2 linked regions of the Caenorhabditis elegans genome follow. The protein of the gene in region 2 interacts with the protein of the main gene of each other region in a pairwise test. Each region holds a gene or a part of one and is shown on either strand. Other genes may lie near its edges. The genes, in order: cbp-1 and nfi-1.

What was found.
Region 1: the proteins of nfi-1 (region 2) and cbp-1 interact in a two-hybrid assay, tested with the Caenorhabditis elegans proteins (one large-scale study listed by BioGRID).

The regions. Positions count from the first base shown.
Region 1 is NC_003281.10:9,764,718-9,769,585, forward strand, and holds the start of cbp-1 (Protein cbp-1), read left to right. Parts: upstream 1-1,792; 5' UTR 1,793-1,980; coding exon 1,981-2,020; intron 2,021-2,073; coding exon 2,074-2,150; intron 2,151-2,202; coding exon 2,203-2,991; intron 2,992-3,285; coding exon 3,286-3,651; intron 3,652-3,703; coding exon 3,704-3,830; intron 3,831-3,962; coding exon 3,963-4,112; intron 4,113-4,163; coding exon 4,164-4,676; intron 4,677-4,726; coding exon 4,727-4,868. UniProt on the Caenorhabditis elegans protein: Acetyltransferase enzyme. Acetylates histones, giving a specific tag for transcriptional activation. May prevent DNA damage-induced apoptosis by inhibiting cep-1-dependent transcription activation of the programmed cell death activator egl-1.
Region 2 is NC_003280.10:7,536,473-7,543,173, reverse strand, and holds nfi-1 (Nuclear factor I family protein), read right to left. Parts: upstream 4,895-6,701; coding exon 4,877-4,894; intron 4,475-4,876; coding exon 4,211-4,474; intron 4,156-4,210; coding exon 4,075-4,155; intron 4,020-4,074; coding exon 3,921-4,019; intron 3,866-3,920; coding exon 3,734-3,865; intron 3,678-3,733; coding exon 3,323-3,677; intron 3,158-3,322; exon of another isoform or gene 3,137-3,157; intron 2,908-3,136; coding exon 2,649-2,907; intron 2,600-2,648; coding exon 2,304-2,599; intron 2,262-2,303; coding exon 2,124-2,261; intron 1,860-2,123; coding exon 1,727-1,859; intron 1,680-1,726; coding exon 1,393-1,679; intron 1,344-1,392; coding exon 1,196-1,343; intron 1,016-1,195; coding exon 916-1,015; intron 798-915; coding exon 636-797; downstream 1-635. Other genes in the region: ZK1290.13 (MARVEL domain-containing protein), read right to left, coding at 6,248-6,502. UniProt on the Caenorhabditis elegans protein: Probable transcription factor which recognizes and binds the palindromic sequence 5'-TTGGCANNNTGCCAA-3' present in promoters. Plays a role in locomotion, pharyngeal pumping, egg-laying, and life span.

The sequences.
Region 1 (4,868 bases), on a different chromosome or scaffold from region 2:
ATCGTAAGAATCATGAATTACTGTATATTCGGATCCTTAATTGCACCTTCGATACCGAAAGATAAGGAAACGAGAGCGTAGAGAAACGGACGGAACGCCCAGCGCTGAGCAGTAGAGGGGCGCATAGAGTGTGAAACGGAGGCCCCGCCCCATCTCGGCCACACTATTACAATCTTGAGGACAGCAGCACGGCGTCGTCGTCCGGAATCTCAGTCTTCATCGTCGTCAACTTCAGAAGTCTATTGGGATGACTGAGAACTACTGCCAGTCTACCACCCTCCGCCACCCTGTCGCTCCGCCTCTCTTGGTGATATCGACAGTCGGACGAGGAGGGCTATTGCCCCGCCTCTCGCACTTTTTGAACTGCCGCTCTTCCGTCCTCCTCAGTTTTTTTGCTTCTCCGGTGGTATTTGATAATTTCCTTTTAGAACATTACACTTTCGATTATTCTCTATCTATTCAAGCCACTGCCGGCTCATGAGAGTTCAATGCGAGCTCACAAACTGAACCATTAAGTGCTCAATCGTGGTTATCGATTTTTCAGAGCTTCAAGTCTGGCTCTTACTCTGGCATTACACGAAGTGATAATATACAGTATTCAACTACTAAATACTATTGCTCTACGATTTTCTATGTATTTTGCTCCTAGTAGCTCAAATTCATTATTAAATTTAACTTTTATCTTTGCAACCTCATCATTCATCTATCTGTTTCGCTCTCGTTCTCTCATCTTTCAAACTTTGTTAATAATGTTATTTTCTTCAATATCACACCAAAAATTATAATCAAAACTTTCATCTCGATCCATTAGATGCTTGTAAACGGAGCCTGTCCAAATGGCATATTCCTTCGTGTGCGTGCGTGTCGCGTGCGGTTAATGTTCTACCGTATCTCGCGAAACGCGGTTTTCGTTGCGAGACACCCACAGCATGGGGCACCCGCTGTCGGCGTTCTCTCCCGATACACACTACTTCGTGGGTGGCTGACTCGTGCTGTCTGTCGTCTCTCCCACTGACCATGTTATTTTGACGAACGGTGTTCTGCGCTTCTTCACGATCATGAACTTTTGAACGTGTCACGTGGAAAATGTTTTGCAACTTTTTAAGTCAAAATACAGTTCAGAATCGGGTCAGTAGTACCATGTGAATCGACGGGATCATCTGAGAAAGAGAAGTTAGCCTCATAAGGTTGGCTTAGCAAATATCGATCGAGCTAGATATACCTGTAAGTATCTAGAGCATTCATGTTTTTAATGGTCCCAAACACCTTTAATGCTTAAAAATACCCGAATTTCACAATATAGATGCCCGCCTTCTTCATTATGCATAGTATTTTTTAAAAATATCTCTCAAGACTGCATAACAACTTTTTTTTGTTAATCCGTATATTACTATAGTGTTTCTAATTAAAATTTGTTTTCGAAGTTTTGCAAAATTGGCTATGAATCCAATTTTAAGCTCTAAATTTATGATAGCTACAGTAACCCATTCATTGGAATTTGATGTTATTAATTCAATTTTAGCATTTAAACGCTCCTTCTCTATTATTACACGCTTAAACAACTTATACAATGGTGCAGGTAAACTTTAAAAAGTGCAACCATCCTCCGTTCATTCTATTGATTTTCCATCTCCTTCTCTCTCACTGTCTGTCTCTCTTCAATTCGCCTCCTCTTTTCATAAGTGCTCTCGCTCTCTAACCACCCTCCACTCATTACTTCACCGATGTTCTTCTCACTCTTCCTCCTCCCTCCTCCGTTCACCGACAAAAATCCATATATCCATTTCATTTTTTTCAGAAACAAACAGCTATATCTGGTGATTTTGCCAAACTAACCCAAATAAGCGGGAACTCTGATGAAGTAGTGGTTGACGTGGGAATTCAAAAACCGACGGACGCAACCAATTCAGGTGTTCCGAGAAGTAGAAAGAGTTCACTTGGTTCGAATTTTGTCAAATATATACATTTTTCTACTAATTGATGGATGAACCACCATCAAAAAAATCTCGCGCTGATAGCGGTAAGTTGCTAGGAAAGTTAAGATGCTACGGTATGATCCTTTAAACTTTTCAGACTATGATTCTGGGTTAGATGCGCTAAGTGCTCTCGAAAGTCTCGAAGCATTCCCAACTTCTAGTAAAGATACAGATGTAAGTTTTTTTGTTTGAATTAACACTCTGTTTTATAAAAATTGTTGTTCAGGTAGACAATAATCCAAGCACATCAGCTGGAGGATCCGGTGGTCCTTCTGGCTCGACACCTCATCCACAAGGCACTCCACAACCAGCACCATCAAACAATGGCGGGTTCAATCTACAACCAGGACAGTCGCAACCTCAGCAGCCGCCACAGAATATGGGAGGAGGTGTCAATGGATCAGTGCTTCAAGAACTTCTAATGAATCCATCACAAACGTCGAACAATTCACCTCGGCCGCAGGCATATCCGCCTGGACAGCAAAATGCATTTAATAGGAGTCCAATGATGCCAAATGGTACACCGAATATGATGTCACCTCCATCTATGGGTCGAGTGCCGGGGCCCAGTCCTGGAGGTCCACAACCACCAGGCCCAGGCCAACCACAAATGCGACCAGGCCAACCAGGAATGTTCCAAGGAGATCAGCAACAGCAAATGATGATGGGTGCACAAGGACAACAATTCCCAGGAATGATGCATCGATATCCGTACGCACAAGGTGGTCCTCCACCAGGAGCCCAGGGAATGCCTCAAGGATATCCAGGAGTTAGTCGGGGCGGACCAACTCCTGGACAACCCATGGGACGTGGTGCTATGATGAATGGAGCAATGCCAAGAAGTGGACCAATGCCGACACAAGGAAGACCTGGAATACCTCCAAACCAACAAGCAATGATGCAGCCAATGATGACTGATCGGCAGTTTATGCAACACGGACAATATGGTCAGCAGCGACCAGAATTTATGCAACAATATGGTCGTCCCGGTGGATATCCAATGATGCATCAAGGGGTAAGTAGAAACTATTTCCTGATTTCTATTTCATTTTGGTTTGATCTTTAAAAAATGCGGGAATTTTTTTTGTTTTTAACCTAGAAAATTGGTAAGATCAGCATGATCTTAACTGTGCGATTCTGACAATTTTTGAAGATCAAACAAAAATGGAACACTTATTAGCTTGACGTGAATTTGGCCAAATCAAAATCGATGTGTAATTGAAACTTAAGTTTCCAATAATTCCCTAATCTTCCACAAATATTGGTTGGAAGTTGCTTGGAATCATAACAATAATCTTCTACATTTCAGATGATGATGGACAGTAATGGTCAACCGATTCGAGGCCCGAATCAAATGATGATGATGAGCAATGGGCATCCAGGAATGTCACACGGTCCTCCAAATGGTCAACCTGGACCACAAGCTGCTGCAGCACAACACGCTGCTCAACAGCAAGCTGCTGCACAAGCTCAAGCTCAGGCGGCTGCACAACAACAACAGCAGCAACAACGAGAGCAAGAAGCTGCGGCGGCAGCTCAACGAAATGGTGCTGGAAGGGCGACAACTCCTGGATCAAGCATGCTTGCAACGCATCAAGATCCCGAGAAGCGGAAGCTTATTCAGCAACAACTTGTTCTATTACTTCATGCACACAAATGTTCTCAACGTGAGAAGGTATGTTATACAGTATGTTCTGGTTTCCTTCATACATCATCAGCTTTTACAGGAAAATCGTGATTTCGCTGCGAAGAATCAACCACCTCCACATGCTGCCTGTACATTACCCCATTGCTCAACGATGAAAGAAGTATTGACACACATGACAAGCTGCAATGTTGGTCGTTTATGTCATTGTAAGTATATTACCCGTCGTGTCGCTTCTTTTTCTCTATCTGGAAAGAGTTTCGAACATTTTCGCAAGAAGAAGCGCCTATTCCCACCCAAAATTTCGCTTCACTCTAGCCACTGTTTGAAATCTCTTTCAGCCGATACCACACAAACTACAAAAAAATGTTCAGTCGCTCATTGTGCATCGTCTCGCCAAATAATAGCTCACTGGAAAAACTGCTCAAGGGAAGATTGTCCTGTCTGCAAACCACTCAAAAGGATACAAGATACTCCATTACAATTTTCATGTACGTTCTATCCTACTCAAGAACATTTTTTAAATATTTGATTATTTTCAGTGCCCGATCTTGCAAATCTAATAGGAGTCAACGGGAATTCGAACGGAAGCGCAGAAGGTGATGGACTTCATCAGTTTGGATCGCCAGCGATGCGAACTGGAAATATTACAAATTCTCTATTCGAAGGATTCAATGGCAATCCATTCCAAAACGGACCAAATCGTGGAGGACCGAGACCACCTGGTGGAAATGGAGAAATTCCAAACTTGCCACCACCAGATATGCCAGATTGTACGAAAGAATGGCATCATCAAGTCACAAAAGATCTCAGAAATCACCTTGTCGGAAAATTGGTTAAAGCGATTTTCCCGGAACCGAATCAGGAAGCGATGAATGATAATCGGTTAAAAGATTTGATAGCCTATGCCAGAAAAGTCGAAAAAGAGATGTTTGAATCTGCAAATGACAGAGAAGAGTATTATCATTTGTTGGCTGAGAAAATTTACAAGATACAAAAAGAGCTTCAAGAGAAAAAGAATTCAAGACTCAATCAAGGAGCTGCTGCACATGATCGTAAGTTTTTTTTTTTTAAAATTTCACCCTTTAACCAATTTTCATTTCAGAATACGCAATTCCACCGTCGAACGAGCTCGCTCAGATGCTTGGTGTGGAAGGTGGACGTAGTGATGTTCATTCTGAAGGAAGTAGTATGGCAGTTGCACCAAGTCAACAAAATCAACCATGGGGAGGTGCTCCGAATTCCAA
Region 2 (6,701 bases):
AGCTGTTGTTATCATCTTCGTTTGTTTCCAGGAAGGAGACTGATAAACAAGTTTCACCCGATAAACCTATTTTCTTTTCTTCAGCTACTAACTAACTATATCATTTTTCTTTATTGATGATATGATATTCCAATTTCTTTTGAATCTATGTTGTGCTTCACGACTTGATAAAAATTCAAGATTCATTAAAATACGTTTTAAAAATTAAATAATCTGAACTACCCACACAAGAAATGCAAACATGAGGTTCAAATACGCAAAAAAAACATAAAAGGAAAACACTGGGAAACTGGAAGTGGTGATTACAATTGTGCATAGCTACGACGTTTTTTCAAAGTTTTTCAGATTTACAAGATAAAGAGGTGACGGTGAAGAAAAGAAAAGGGAAAATGTGTGGCCCCGTAAACAATTGATTTTTTTGTGGATTTTGGTTTTCAAAAGAGGTTCGGAAAAATAGATTATGACGTCACAGACGGAGAAAATGTTTTGAAGATTGAAGAAAAATGAAAATAATAAAAATAACAACTAGTTTGAATAATACTAAAGAAGGACTAGGTTTGATAACTCTAATTTTTCAATTGGTAACACGAAAGGGATAAATAAAACGAATAAAAAGATTAACAGGAATATCAAAATCATTTTTTCTCATTACGAAGAGCATGTGAAAAGTCAGTTGGCAGCTTTGGAGCATTCGGATCTTGTGGAGTATTTGAGACCGGTGCTTGATTTGCAGCTCCTAGAGATGAATTTGATGATGACGGGGAGCATGCTGGTGGAGCTCCAACGCTAACACGAATCTGGCGATGAATTACACAATTAAAAGCTTACATCTTTCGATTAATTATTTTCGTAAGGTGTTTTTCAGAATAATTATAAAAGCTGCTGATTATAAATGTTTATAAAATATCAACTTACTTGATGAAGAGGTGACATTGCATTTTGAGTTTGCTGGACGGCCAGTGCAATATTTTGAGGAACGGCCAATCCCATTGCTACACCCAACGAATTCGATCCGCTGAAGAAACTTTTTTTGGTTAGACAAGACATTGATTTTAGATTGAAATTTGAAATTAATAAAATTTTCAAGCTTTTGGCCAATTTAAAAAAAAGTATATATTTCTGGAAAGATTTTTTTAAAATTACATTTTATTTTGATACATTATTTTCAGAAAAAAAACAATATGGTTCAACTTACTTGCTTGCAGAACTATCCGGACGATGAATCGAATTACCAGGAACTAATCCACTCACAGCTCCCATTGATAATGCCGAAAAAGCATTTCCACTACTAAGCAATGGAGATCGAGAATTGGTATCAATAAGATGTTGAATGAAGCTATCGTCTGTAAAAAAAAGCAATGGGATGATAGTTCAATGTTCATAAAATCATACTTAAAGTTGTTCCGTCATTACTGTGTGCAAGTTGTCCAAGTACATTAATCAATGAATCATCTTCAAGCATTCGAAATGAAGGAGTTATACGAGGAGTTGTGATGGGTGATGGAATGATTGAATTACATCCTGACATAATTGGTTTCACTGCAACTGGAGCAATTAATTTCACTGATGAATCAACTGGTTTCGATGATAAGATTGGTGGTTGGATTTGTGAATTACAGTAGCTCGTGCTCGGTTGATTATGTTGCAGATGTTTCTCTTCGATCTTTTGGAAAATTTTGCTGAAAAGAAAAAATTGTTTAACGATGATCGGGATACGATGCCAAACCTGAAGCTTGTTGTATCTCCGCGTGCTGTTGTGAATTTTGTTGGGCTTGCCATGTATCCACTACTTTCTCTGCTGATTAGATTAGAAACAGCAGTGTGAGTCGGTGAAATATCGCTTCCTAAAGCTCCTTCATCTGAAACAAAAAAAATAAATTCAACTTTTACTAAACATATATTCTTCCAAAACTACGATACCAGGTCTCATCACGACAAATATTTATGGAATACACAAATGTTTGCGCCTTTAAAGTGTACTGTAATTTCGAACGTTTGTTTCGTAGATTTTCCATAGACCGGGTACCATATTTTTTTAGCTTTTTAATATAAAAAAGTTTCGTGTTTGAAAAATATTAGTAATTTTCGCGAGAATGAGGGTCACGTATACAAAAACAACTAACTTTTATTCATTTCCTGATTGCAATTCAAAAATTCAAATGAATTGCTCGTATGCGGATGCATTCTTTTTCTGCCAACTGGACTTTCTCGCATCGATGGTGTCGTTCGAAGTGAGCTCAATGCATTCACTATATGTTGAGCTGAATTAATATGATTTTATTCATTAAAATTATCGTGCTTACCATGAATCACATGCTCCCGATTTCTTTCATCAACAACAACGACTCCAACATCGCCATGATTTCCAGTATTCACTGTCATTCGACAAACGGGTTTTGCTGTTGAACGGAATGCACCCGGACTCCTCGCAGAATCTTGACTTTGAAAATCGGGAAGCGGTCTCACTTGCCGACTCGTTCCGGGAGCTCCTTGATTTTGTTGTGTACGAGAGAATTGGCCTGGTGCTGCCCATATGGAGCTTCCGAGTACCAATTTTTCCGTTCCACTTTCCACTATCCGCCGAACTTCGTCGTTAGTGCTGAAATAACTGTGTAAATATTTATATTAATTATTTTTTCAAGTTCTACCTGGAATTAGGAGAATCATGCGATGATATATCCCGACTTCGTTTCTCTGAAGGTCCATCGTTGGAATCCTCCGACATATCCATTTGTTGAGAATCAGATGTTCCCGCGATGGGATAAGGAAAACAATTTTGAATCGGAGGAGGTGGTAGACATAGAACAGATCTTTTTGCATTGAAAAAGTTGTTGTCGACTGCGGTTTTGTTAACCATATACGTGTTTCCCGCAGAAAGAGACTGTTGGGCAAGAGTAGCACGACCACCTGAAAATTTATTTTAAAGTTTGGAATTCTTATTGGAAATTTGCAATTTCGAGCCAATAATATGCAAAAAGGTGTGCTCAAGGAGTACTGTAATTTCAAACTCTTGTTTCTGGGGAATTTCGATTGAAATTGAATATAAATCTATGAAAAATAGAGGGAGAGGGAATTTCTAAGCAACGAGAGTTTGAAATTTTGGCACAAAAATCGCGTTTGAACAGTTTCACAAAATTTTAAAGCCCTTGACAATTTAACATATTTATAAATTAATCAAAACGATTTATCTGCGTCGCAAAATGGATATATTTTTATTTTGAATAAAATTGGATTTTTTCGCTGACAGAATGTCATGGTGAATTCTCAATAGCTTTCAATTTATTCATTGCTTATAGAGAGTTTTAGAATAATTTAATCTTACCAAAATAAGTATGGCAAGCTTTCTGTGGATCATAAGTGATAATGATTGTTTCCGCATTTCGTTCGGAATTCGTTTCCCAGACACGAGTATGAGTAGAACTTGTGCCAAGAACTGCATGAGGAGCTACAATTGTCTGTTCACCGGGCTCTTGCTTTACCATCACTGTATCAGAAAGTTCATCATTTCTCGGATAGGTCAATGTAATTTTAGTGTCAACGTCTTTCAGATAGTTTGCCATAAAAACGTCAAGACCGCGAACACTAATCGCCATATGAAAAGGATTTATGCACAGAGGGTGGACACATGCCTCGGATCGTTCGAGACGCTCGCCGTCGGTGCTCTCGAGAGGAATTCCCTGAAAAATATTAAATTTATTTGAAGTATTAGGCAATAGGATTTTTAAAAACTCACTTTAAATAAAATAATAGTAACCAGATCAAGCCTCCAAACTTTGTCAGCTTGGCGTAAGCAATCAATTCGCCGCATTTTCCCTTTCTGATCAGCAACTGATATAATACACTTGTTCGGCTCACTTCCATTGATCTAAAAAATTGGTTTCGCCTTATATTAAATCAATTATAAATATTGAAATACTTACAGCCGAAATAAACGCTTCTTTATCGTCATTTTGAATATCTTTTTTTATTTTTCCCAAAAGTCTGGAAGCCCATTTCACTTTTAATTCATCTCTATCATTCTGAAATGCAAACAATTTTCTTTATGATTTTTGTTCATATTTATTCGTATTTTACTTGTAATTCTGCTAATTTCGCGTTTTCTTCACTCGCACACATCTTCTTATCAAATTCTTTGAAGTGCCGTCGTTTTGCTGCCTGAAAACAGGGGAATGAAATTGAAAAATTAAAAATTATATTCAATAATTCCTACCTGCAGATGAAACCAATTATAGGCACTTGCTCTGACAAAAGGTAGAAGTTGTTCGACAAATGGTCCCATATCTTCCTGTGAGTAAGGACTGAAGCATTTGATACCATTGGCTTTCGGACTCACGGCTTCTGGAGAATTGAATTGATTACTCCAATCAGAAGATGGTGGAGGCATTGTCTGCTGTGCCTGTGAGTCTTGAGGTGCTTCTGATGTTGAAGCTGTTGCACCAGTGGTCGTCGAACCGCTGGCGGAGCTGACATCGATCTGAAAAGTATTTTGAGTTTATTTCTTTGTTTGATATACTTATACGAGTTTTTTTTTTGAAATTTCAAATTAATAATCAAGTTTTCTTTTTTACCTGAGATTCCATTCGTATAATTTAAAATCAAAAGTATCTACAAAAAGAGTTTATATTTTCATATATAATACTGCATATAGGAAGAGATAGCCTTTTGATGATAGTTGGTTCATAGCAACAGCAAAAATACTCCACAAATTTAAAGAGGCGCAGATAAGGAAACAAGCGAAAAGATTTTGAATGAATAGAATCACACCGCCCGTCGAGCGAATACTCGTCAAATTAATCGATATGAAGACCGGCATGTGTGTGCGAGGTAATTATTTGCAGCGAACCTGCTGCAAAATGTTTTACAACAAATAAATTACCTTGAGATGCGGCTCCATTTTATTCAAAAAATCTCCCAGAGCTGGAAAAAAATCGCAATGCTGCTGCGATCGGTGTCCTGGCTTGTGCTCAGATAATCTGCATTCTGAAACACTTAAAAATCGATATCACAAATTGACAAGCGTTAAAGAAGAAAAAAGCGGCACCGAGCGCAAAATATCATGAGAAAATAAATGATTGAAGAAGTAAAATATTTTTCGAGATTAGTTTTCTGTCGAAATAATAATAAACACTGGCAACAATTTGAATTAAATGAATTCTCGTTTAATCAATTTTATTGAGCTTATAGAAACACTTCTTCTGATTCAAATATATTTTTGGAAACTTTATAAATTTTTCTGCACATTCATCTGCTCATATTTTGCTCTTTCATAGCCAATATTAAAAATACAGGTGGTCTGGGATGCGCTGCGAATCAAACTACGGTAAATTAACTATAGAGCAAAAATGCGCAGAGGGTCGTACAAATACTAGTCCAGCGGCCATATTTCAAACGGAATTTTCCGCGCGAAATCTTGATTAACTGACAGATGACAATTAATTCTTAAAAATTAAAATGAAGATTATCGAATTTTTGAAATTTATTTATTAATTATCAACAAATAAAAAATTTAACGAAAAATCTCAAGCGATCTGTTCAGAAAAAGAGAAAACTCATAAACAAAAAAACAAAGAAGAAAGTATCGATTAAATAAAACGGCAGGTCTCGCAACGATATTGTTAACTATTGCAAAATGGTGCGCGTCTTTAAAAAAGAGTACTGTAGTCTCAAACCTCCGTTGTTGCGGAATATTTATCGGTTTTTCATAGTTTTTCTCAAGGCTTGTGCTTAAAGAAATGTTGTTTCATTGTTATAAAATTTTTAGCAAATCGTGAGAAAAACTATTAAAAATCGATAAAAATCGCACATCAGTTTAACGTTCGAAATAGCTGAAAGTTTCTTGCGAACATGTGAAAAAACAGAAATTTCGTTTTGTAAAAAAACATTTTGCAACATACAGAAAAAGATAACCTCGAAATTTATTTTATTCATTTGTTTGCTCCCTCGTTCCATAAAAAACAAAAATCATGTGACATCAGTTCTATAGCATGCTAAATACAATGCTCAAGTCGTCAGTTCAACAGTTCAAATCAAACAAGTATTAGAGTTTAATAATAACACGTGGTGTCAGGATCCCCCGTTACGCTTTGATCTACAGAAAATGCGGGATTTTTCCTAAAAAATGTGACGTCAGCACGTTCTTAACTATGAGAAATTAGTTGAAAAGGCTGCGCCTAAATTCCTGCCGTTCTCGTAGATCTTCACATGGGACATTCTGACACCATGTCTAATAACATAAAAATAACTAGAATCAAAAAGCAGATTCTTCAAATCTTGACAATGAATTAAACTTGGATGCAAGACTTGCATCTGATTGATGAACTGGATTCTTAACTGTTCTTCTTGGAGCAGGAGAAGGTTCCGGTGTATACTCTTCAACTTGTGCTTCTTCTAGAATTGCCATTCTCTTTGGTTTTGGTGGCCTATTTCTATAGGCTACAGGGTATGCTGGTGAGGTGCCACCAATATTTGAAATTTCACTTTCAGTCCCATCGAATGTCTCATCCTAAACGAAATTCTATAACTACAAGCCATACGTCACAATTTTTTGAATTGGATCTGCTCATTAAAATTTGTGATTTTTTTTTAATGCAAAAAAAAGTTATTCAACAAACAGATAAAATTGATTACAAAAATGTTTTCTGATGTAAGATTCTCCAAAAACTTAACATTTATTGACAAATAGTATTATTCTGTTTTCTACA